2 linked regions of the Macaca mulatta genome follow. The protein of the gene in region 1 interacts with the protein of each later gene in a biochemical or structural test. Links are inferred from orthologs where the notes say so. Each region holds a gene or a part of one and is shown on either strand. Other genes may lie near its edges.

Region 1 (4,343 bases):
TTGTTTAGTCCCTCCATTTAGCACTATTATTTTTCTAATAATTATAAATTTAGAGTATATTTGATATAAATATTTAATTCTCAAGATTAAATCATATTATCAAAAATACGTATTAAAATTATTTATATAATTATATGAAGTTCTAAACTGTTTAAATGATTTAAAGGGTATGTATTTTGTATGTATCTAATCATTTTCTTTCTTCTAAAATGATTTATGAGTATGTAATTTTTTCAAAGATGTTATCATTTTATAAAGTAAATAATAAGGTAATATAAAGGCTTCCAAAATCAAAGTACATGTTCCATATCACTTTCAACAACACAGTAGTATCTGTAATTAAGTCCTAAAACTTGATAGAATAACCCTGTACCACCACCTGCTGTTGGAAACAAAAAGTTTAATTTCATATGTTCAACTTATAGCTATGTATAAGCTTGGTGCTAGGTATAAATCTTGATGCTAGGTATAAATCTTCATGGGGATAAAGCAACATTATCATTATTATGGCATTTATGGATTTTAAGGCTTCGACATAATTTTTTGAGCATGTATGTAGATTTTTAAGTATACTGATTCTGCAAAGGAGGAAAGCAAGAAGTGGAACCAAACAAATAAAGCCAAATCAAATAAATAAACGCTTGCAATTTGAGTACTCTGCAGCACTTTAGGAAGAAGAGAACTTCATTTTTCTGCCTCAGAATCCCTACAGTTTTTATTCTTAATAATTTCATATACTATCATGATTATTCCTGTGTATATTTATCACTGTTAACAGATAATTATCAATGTTTAATGCAAAGGGAAAAATGGCCTTTTCCATCAGGATAAACCTGTATTTGAATGCCAGCCCTTCTACTTGTTAGCTTTGAGCTCAGTCCAATCATTTAGCTTCTCTGAACACCAGGCCAAAGACTTTTTAAAAATTAAGATATACACGTTGATCTTATAGGGTTTTATGAGATTTTAAAATATTATATGTAAAGTACCTGGGATACATATTAAGCACTGAATAAATGGTATCTCTGATTACATTATTTTAATTCCATAAAATTTGTATCTGTCACTAAAATCTCAAATCTGGAAAGTTCAAATCTGATCAGACCATGGACAGGTGTTAGAGAGATCATAAGAAGACATAAGAAAACTTATATTTGAAATAAATATAGAGAGTGAGACTTGAGTCAGACACTCAACCAAACTTGATAGAAATATCAAATCTATAGTAAGTAATCTTTACAGTTTCAGTCAGCAATCCAACTGGGGATCATCTTGACAAGGAGGTTAGGGGAGGAGCATAGACAGTCCAAACATATGTTCTTGAACATATGCAGACTCATCTGATGAAGGTCTTTAGAAAGCTTGAATCTCCCTCATAAACAAGTCTCTAATGGATTTTAAAGAATGGACTTTTATCATGTTTTCTGATATAAATTACTCATCGGCTCTATAGAAAGCAGTAGTAGGCACATTTAATGATACTTACATAAAAAATGTGGTTAGCAGGAACATCACTAGGGGAGTCTTTTATAAAAATCTAATTAAGTCAGAGAAATGAAATAAGACTATACATTTAGTACTATATGAAATGAGGCAATGGATAGATAAAAAAATAAAGTAGAGAGAAGGATGGACAGACAGATGAATGCAGAGACCTCAGAAAAGAAGTTTAGCAGGGTAGAAAGTAAAACTTCTTTACAATAAAATTCCACTAAATAAAGGCAGAACGAATTATAGAAACAGAAAAATCACTATTTGGAAGCCATACTAGTAATAATTATTTCAGACAAGACTCATCAAAGAATTATTGCATAAAAGTATAGTGAGAAACAGGATGATTATATAATCTCAAAGTAGCTCACAAGATAGTTATTCATTACAAAGACAAAAATGGTAACTTTACATTAAAGAAAATTGGCAGACACCCCATTTACCAAATGGACAGTTAAATTACTGTTTCACTAAAGACATCATGCTGCACTGAGAAAAACCCATCACTCCTGCCAAAAATACATAGCTTAAATCTAATAAGGAAACATCAGACAAACCCAAACTGAAGAATATTGTTCAAAATAACTGGTCTATATTCTTTAAAAAAAAAAAAAAAGTATCTGTCATAAAAGTCAAAGAAAAACTGAGTCTCTGTTCTAGAGTAAAGGAAGATAAAAAGATATGAGAACTATATGCAACATGGGATCATGGATTGGTTTAGAATATTAGTGGTATAAATGGCTGATTTTGAATATGGTTTCTAAGTTAGGGTTATTAAGTTATAGTGTTATTAATGTTTGTTTCCTGATTTTGTTCATTGTAATGTGGTTAAGTGACATAAAATGTACACTAATATATTTAGATGTAAAGAGTATCACGTTTGTAACTTACTCTCAAGTGTTTCAGGAAAAAAATATATAACTACAGTTATATTTGCATCTATACTTATATCTACATTTGTAACCATATCTATGGAGAGGCTGGGGTTGGAAGAGAGAAATAGGAAGGAAAAGAGGAGAGGGAGAAGAAGGGAGGAAAAGTGAGAATTATAAAGCAAGCAAGAGAGGTAAAGGTTAACATTTGGAAAATCTGGGTTTGGGTATAGCATATAAGAATGCTTTGCTCTAATCTTGCAACATTTTTGTACCCCTGAAATTACTTCAAAATTAAAAGTAGAAAATGATAAAGGAAAGTGAAGGAGAAGGGAAAAGGACAAGGAGGAGAAGGAGAAGCTTACTTTCAAAAAGATCTTATACCAAATCTTCTCATTTGTAGATGCTCCATAACGTTAATAATATAAGTACATATTTACTGAATGAAAATAATTTTCATGGTGTAGTAGCCCATGTTCACGGTGCTGATAAAGACAAATCAGAGACTGGGCAATTTACAAAAGAAATAGGTATATTGGACTTACAGTTCCACGTGGCTGGGGAGGTCTCACAATCACGGCAGAAGGTGGAAGGTACACTTCACATGGCGGCAGACAAGAGAAGAGAGCTTGTTCAGGGAAATTCCGTTTTTAAAACCATTAGATCTCATGAGACTTAACCATCAACAGAAAAGCATGGGAGAGACTAGCCCCCATGATTCAGCCACCTCTCACTGGGCCCCTTCCACAACACGTGGGAATTCAAGATGAGATTTGGGTGGGGACACAGCCAAATCACATTATATGGGAAAGAGAAAAAAAGATCTAGGAGCGGGAGTTTGGAATGAACTACACATCTAATTGTACACATTTCCTGTGCTATAATTTCTATGAAGAAAAGAAACAGGCTAATTTTTGTTCACTACTGTTTATGCTGTTCCAATATAATGCCTGGCACAAAGAAAATGCTTAACAAATATGTGTTGATGGAACCATGTCAGAGATCTACTTTACAGTTGTTTTAACTCTTATTCTCCTCTTCTGCAACTGTCTTAACATCTGCCCACTAAACATCTAGATTTCATAAATACATAACTATTCAATCTGAGTAACATTTTTAGGAGAGAACAACTAAATTGTGTAAGGCAGAGAGAGCTTACATCTGAGTATTACATAGCAATGAAACATGGGCATCTCTTCACTCTCCAATCGTGAAGGGCTTTGTGGTTAACTTACATTCTTTTTCCCCTACTGAACAATTACAAATTTCCTTGAGCATTAATTAGTAGCCTTAGCCAGATGTTAAAGTGTGGCGGATAAAGTGTAGCATCATATTTCAAACCAAAATCCAAAGTCTAAGCAACATCTAATTTTTTTGGAATGTGGATTGTGAAACTTCAAACTACAAGAGTTCTAGATGTGCTGGAGAAGTTTGAAAGGGTCACAGTTGAACCAGACACATCAACCAGCCTAAAGGACAACAGATGGCAAGGAATGTCTCTGAGTTGCCTAGTTTATTTTATCCCTATTCTTGGTAACATCTCCATTTTTCTCTTATATTAGATGGCGTACTACATATGTCCAGCCTCAGAATGCTTGGAAACCAACAATTCCCTTCAGTCTAAGACAATTACTTAAATATAAGTTTTTAAGCTTACAACTGATGGATACATCACCATACTCTACCCACAGCTGATAAATTCATCAGGGAGCCCTTGACCTGGTGCTAACCAGTTCTTACAACCAGTGACACCTATGAGGTGGCCTGGAACAAAATGTCCAGGTACATAGATAATGGTGCTTATGGTGGAGTTTTCTGTTTTGCTTTGTTTTAAAACAGAATTATTGAGACAGGCTCGACACAAATTTTGCACATTTTAATGTGTACAATTTGATGTTATGATATATATACATATATGTATACAAACATATTTTATGCCCATTAAGCCATCACAATCAAGATATTGTGCAGCAAACCACC
Region 2 (3,819 bases), on another chromosome or scaffold:
AGTTCCGAGCCATCACTCAAGAGGTTCAAGCTGCCACTTTCTTTTTTTTTTTTTTTTTTTGAGATAGAGTCTCGCACTGTTGCCCAGGCTGGAGTGCAGTGGTGTGATCTCAGTTCACTGCAACCTCCGCCCCCCAGGTTCCAGGGATTCTCCTGCCCCACCCTGGGTACCTGCAGAGCTACTCAGCTGGGATTACAGGTGCTCACCACCACACCCGGCTAATTTTTGTATTTTTAATAGAGATGAGGTTTCACCATGTTGACCAGGTTGGTCTTGAACTCCTGACCTCAGGTGATGCACCCACCTCAGCCTCCCAAAGTGCTGGGATTATAGGCGTGAGCCACCGCGCCCAGCCTGCTGCCACTTTCTATTAATAAAATCCCGGCATACTAATATTCTAATATTCCAACATTGAGTTCCAGCATGCTGGGATACCAATATTCTGCTTTCTCCAATTCCAACATTTGTGGATGTGAATGTTTCAAAACAGAATTCTACCGCTGTGAGCCCAATATTCCAGGACTCCAACCCGCCAACACTGGTATCCACAATCGGCCAGCGGTGCAGAATTCCACATGGGCCATCTTCCCATTCCGAATTCCCAAATTCTAGGATCCCAATATTTCAGCTTCCCTTGAGTCCGACATTCTCCATTTCCGTAATTAACACCAAATTCTAGCATTCTAGAACCTCAACCTGCCAACAGTTTAGGGATTCACGATGGTGACCTTCCAACTTTGAATTCCAACAATCTCAGGGTTCAACTTTCTAACATTCTGTGATTCCAACACTCCAAAAAGAAAGCAAGGCTGGGCATGGTGGCTCACACCTGTAATCCCAGCACTTCGGGAGGCTGAGGCAGGTGGATCACAAGGTCAGGAGATCAAGACCATCCTGGCTAACACGGTGAAACCCTGTCTCTACTAAAGATACAAAAAATTAGCTGGGCATGGTGGCACATGCCTGTAGTCCTAGCTACTCGGGAGGCTGAGACAGAAGAATCGCTTGAACCCGGGAGGCAAAGGTTGCAGTGAGCCAAGATTGCACCACTGTACTCCAGCCCAGGTGACAGAGCAAGACTCTGTCTCAAATGAAAAAAAAAAAAAAAAAAGCAACCTGATCCCAACCTTACAAGACTCCCAGTTCTTTTTTTTTTTTTTTTTTTTTTTTTGGGGGGGTGGGGCTTTTTGTTTTTTGTAGCTGGGATTATAGGCGCCCACCTCCACACCTGGCTAATTTTTGGATTTTTAGTAGAGACGGGTTTCACCATGTTGGCCAGGCTGGTCTCCAACTCCCGACCTCAGGTGATCCACCTGCCTCGGCCTCCCAAAGTGCTGGGATTACAGGCGTGAGCCACCGCACCCAGCACAAGACTCTCGGTTCTTACACCCAGACCTCATCCCCTGAGCCCTCCAAGCTAAAGGAGACAGACGCCCAGTCCAAGCACGGCACCAGCCAGGTGTCCAACCTGGAGCACCTGGTCAGCAGATGGCAGTCATGCCCCCAGCCTGGAAGGTCTCCATTCAAGGATACAAGGCTCACCTGAAGCAGTAGTTGGTGTCCAGGGCTCGGCGGTGCCGGGAGCTTTGCAGATGTTGGGCCCTCTCCAGCGGGGTGGCCATGAGAAGCAGGAAAGGCCGGTTCATGCCATGAATGGTGGCCAGGTCACCTCGGCGGCCGGTAGTGAACCCTGCTTTGGTGTGGGAGTCAGGGGATAGAGGACATACACACACACTCTCAGAGGGATAGATAAGTGGGGCGTGGGGCAGATGGGGACACACACATGCACACACGTCACAGCTGGGCACGGCCAGGGAAGCAAGCCTCACCGTTGATGTCCACTTGCAGTGTGTTATCTTTGCTGTCACAGGAGCAGTGGGCGCTAAGGCGAAAGCCCTCAATTTCCCCTGTAGGAGTGGGGAGAGGGAAGCCAGTCTGAGAGTGCAGCTTACCCAGCCCCTGGAGGAAGAGGAAGGAAGGAGCAAAGCCCAAGGGGTTCCTTCCTGCCTCCCCCACCCACCCCACTCTGCCCACTCGCTGCAGCTCTTTTTTTTTTTGAGACAAGGTCTTACAGCCTCAACCTCCCAGGCCAAAGCAATCCTCCCATCTCAGCCTCCCGAGTAGCTGGGACCACAGGCGCGTGTTATCATGCATGGCTAATTTTTTTTTTTTTTTTTTTGAGATGGAGTCTGGCTGTGTTGCCCAGGCTGGAGTGCAGTGGCATGATATCAGCTCACTGCAACCTCTGCCTCCCAGGTTCAAGCCATTCTCCTGCCTCAGCCTCCCAAGTAGCTGGAATAACAAGCGTGCACCACCACGCCCGGCTAATTTTTTGTATTTTTAGTAGAGATGGGGTTTCACCATGTTGGCCAGGCTGGTCTTGAACTCCTGACCTCAGGTGATCCACTGGCCTCAGCCTCCAAAAGTGCTGGGATTACAGGCATGAGCCACTGCACCTAGCCTACACGGCTACTTTTTAAATTTTCTGTAGAGACAGAGGTCTCGCTATGTTGCTCAGGCTGGGCTCAAGCAATCCTCCCGCCTTGGCCTTCCAAAGTACCAGGATTACAGACATGAGCCACTGCACCCAGCCAGCATCAATCTCTTGAATGAATGAGTGAATGATATTTTCTAAGCTCCCACGATGTGCCGAAGCCTATGCTGTGTGCTTGGGACTCAGCATTGACCAAGACAGATGAAATCCTTCTAGGCCTTTATCGAACAGCCCAGGACACTCCTCTCGGTGCCCACCTGCTCCCTAATCCCTATTTTTTGTTTCTCATTTCTTTTTTTTTCTTTTTTTTTGAGACGGAGTTTTGCTCCTGTTGCCTAGGCTGGAGCACAATGGCGCGATCTTGGCTCACTGCAATCTCCGCCTCCTGGGTTCAAGCAATTCTCCTGCCTCAGCCTCCCAAGTAGCTGGGATTACAGGCATGTGCCATCACGCCCAGCTAATGTATTTTTAGTAGAGACAGGATTTCTCCATGTTGGTCAGGCTGGTCTTGAACTCCCGACCTCAGGTGATCCACTCACCTTGGCCTCTCAAAGTGCTGGGATTACAGGCGTGAGCCACTGTGCTTGGCCCACTAATCCTTATTTTTTCTTTCTTTTTTTTTTTTTGAGACTGAGTCTTGCTCTGTTGCCCAGGCTGGAGTGCAGTGGTGCGATCTTGGCTCACTGCAAGCTCCGCCTCCTGGGTTCACACCATTCTGCCTCAGCCTCCCAAGTAGCTGGGACTACAGGCGCCCACCACCATGCCCGGTTAACTTTTTCTTTTTTTGGATTTTTAGTAGAGACAGAGCTTCACCTTGTCAGCCAAGATGATTTCGATCTCCTGACCTTGTGATCCACCCTCCTTGGCCTCCCAAAGTGCTGGGATTACAGGCGTGAGTCACCGTGCCCCCAATCCCTATTTTTTCATGTGGCCAAACTACTATTTATCCTGTGAGTCTCCACATAATCACGCTCACCCAGCAAGCCCTCCTAGACTCCCCAGATGGGTCTGGGAGCCTTCTCTGGGCTCCCAACAGCGCTTAGGGCATCCCCCATCCTGCATGCCTCTCTGTCCCAGCCTTGTCCTCTCTGCCCGTGCCTCCCCGTCCCATCCTCAATCATTCTAGGTCATTCCTGCCTGGTGGGGCAAGATCTCTTCGGTGTCCAGAAGTGACTGTGGGCCCCATGAGGGCAGAACTGAGGGCTGTCTTGGTTACCACTGTGTCCCCCACACCACCCAGCACAGGGCCAGACACACAGCAGGAACCTGTGGGCAATGATTGAATAAAAGCATGAATGAGAGGGAGGTGAGGGAGAGAGATACGG

What was found.
Region 2: the proteins of DCN (region 1) and TGFB1 form a complex in vitro, tested with the Homo sapiens proteins (3 studies listed by BioGRID). The link is inferred for Macaca mulatta from reciprocal best matches to the Homo sapiens genes DCN and TGFB1.

Annotation. Positions count from the first base shown.
Region 1 is NC_133416.1:98,632,237-98,636,579, forward strand, and holds the start of DCN (decorin), read right to left. Parts: upstream 2,984-4,343; 5' UTR 2,909-2,983; intron 1-2,908. UniProt on the Homo sapiens protein: May affect the rate of fibrils formation.
Region 2 is NC_133424.1:52,486,026-52,489,844, forward strand, and holds part of TGFB1 (transforming growth factor beta-1 proprotein), read right to left. Parts: intron 1,908-3,819; coding exon 1,830-1,907; intron 1,694-1,829; coding exon 1,543-1,693; intron 1-1,542. UniProt on the Homo sapiens protein: Transforming growth factor beta-1 proprotein: Precursor of the Latency-associated peptide (LAP) and Transforming growth factor beta-1 (TGF-beta-1) chains, which constitute the regulatory and active subunit of TGF-beta-1, respectively.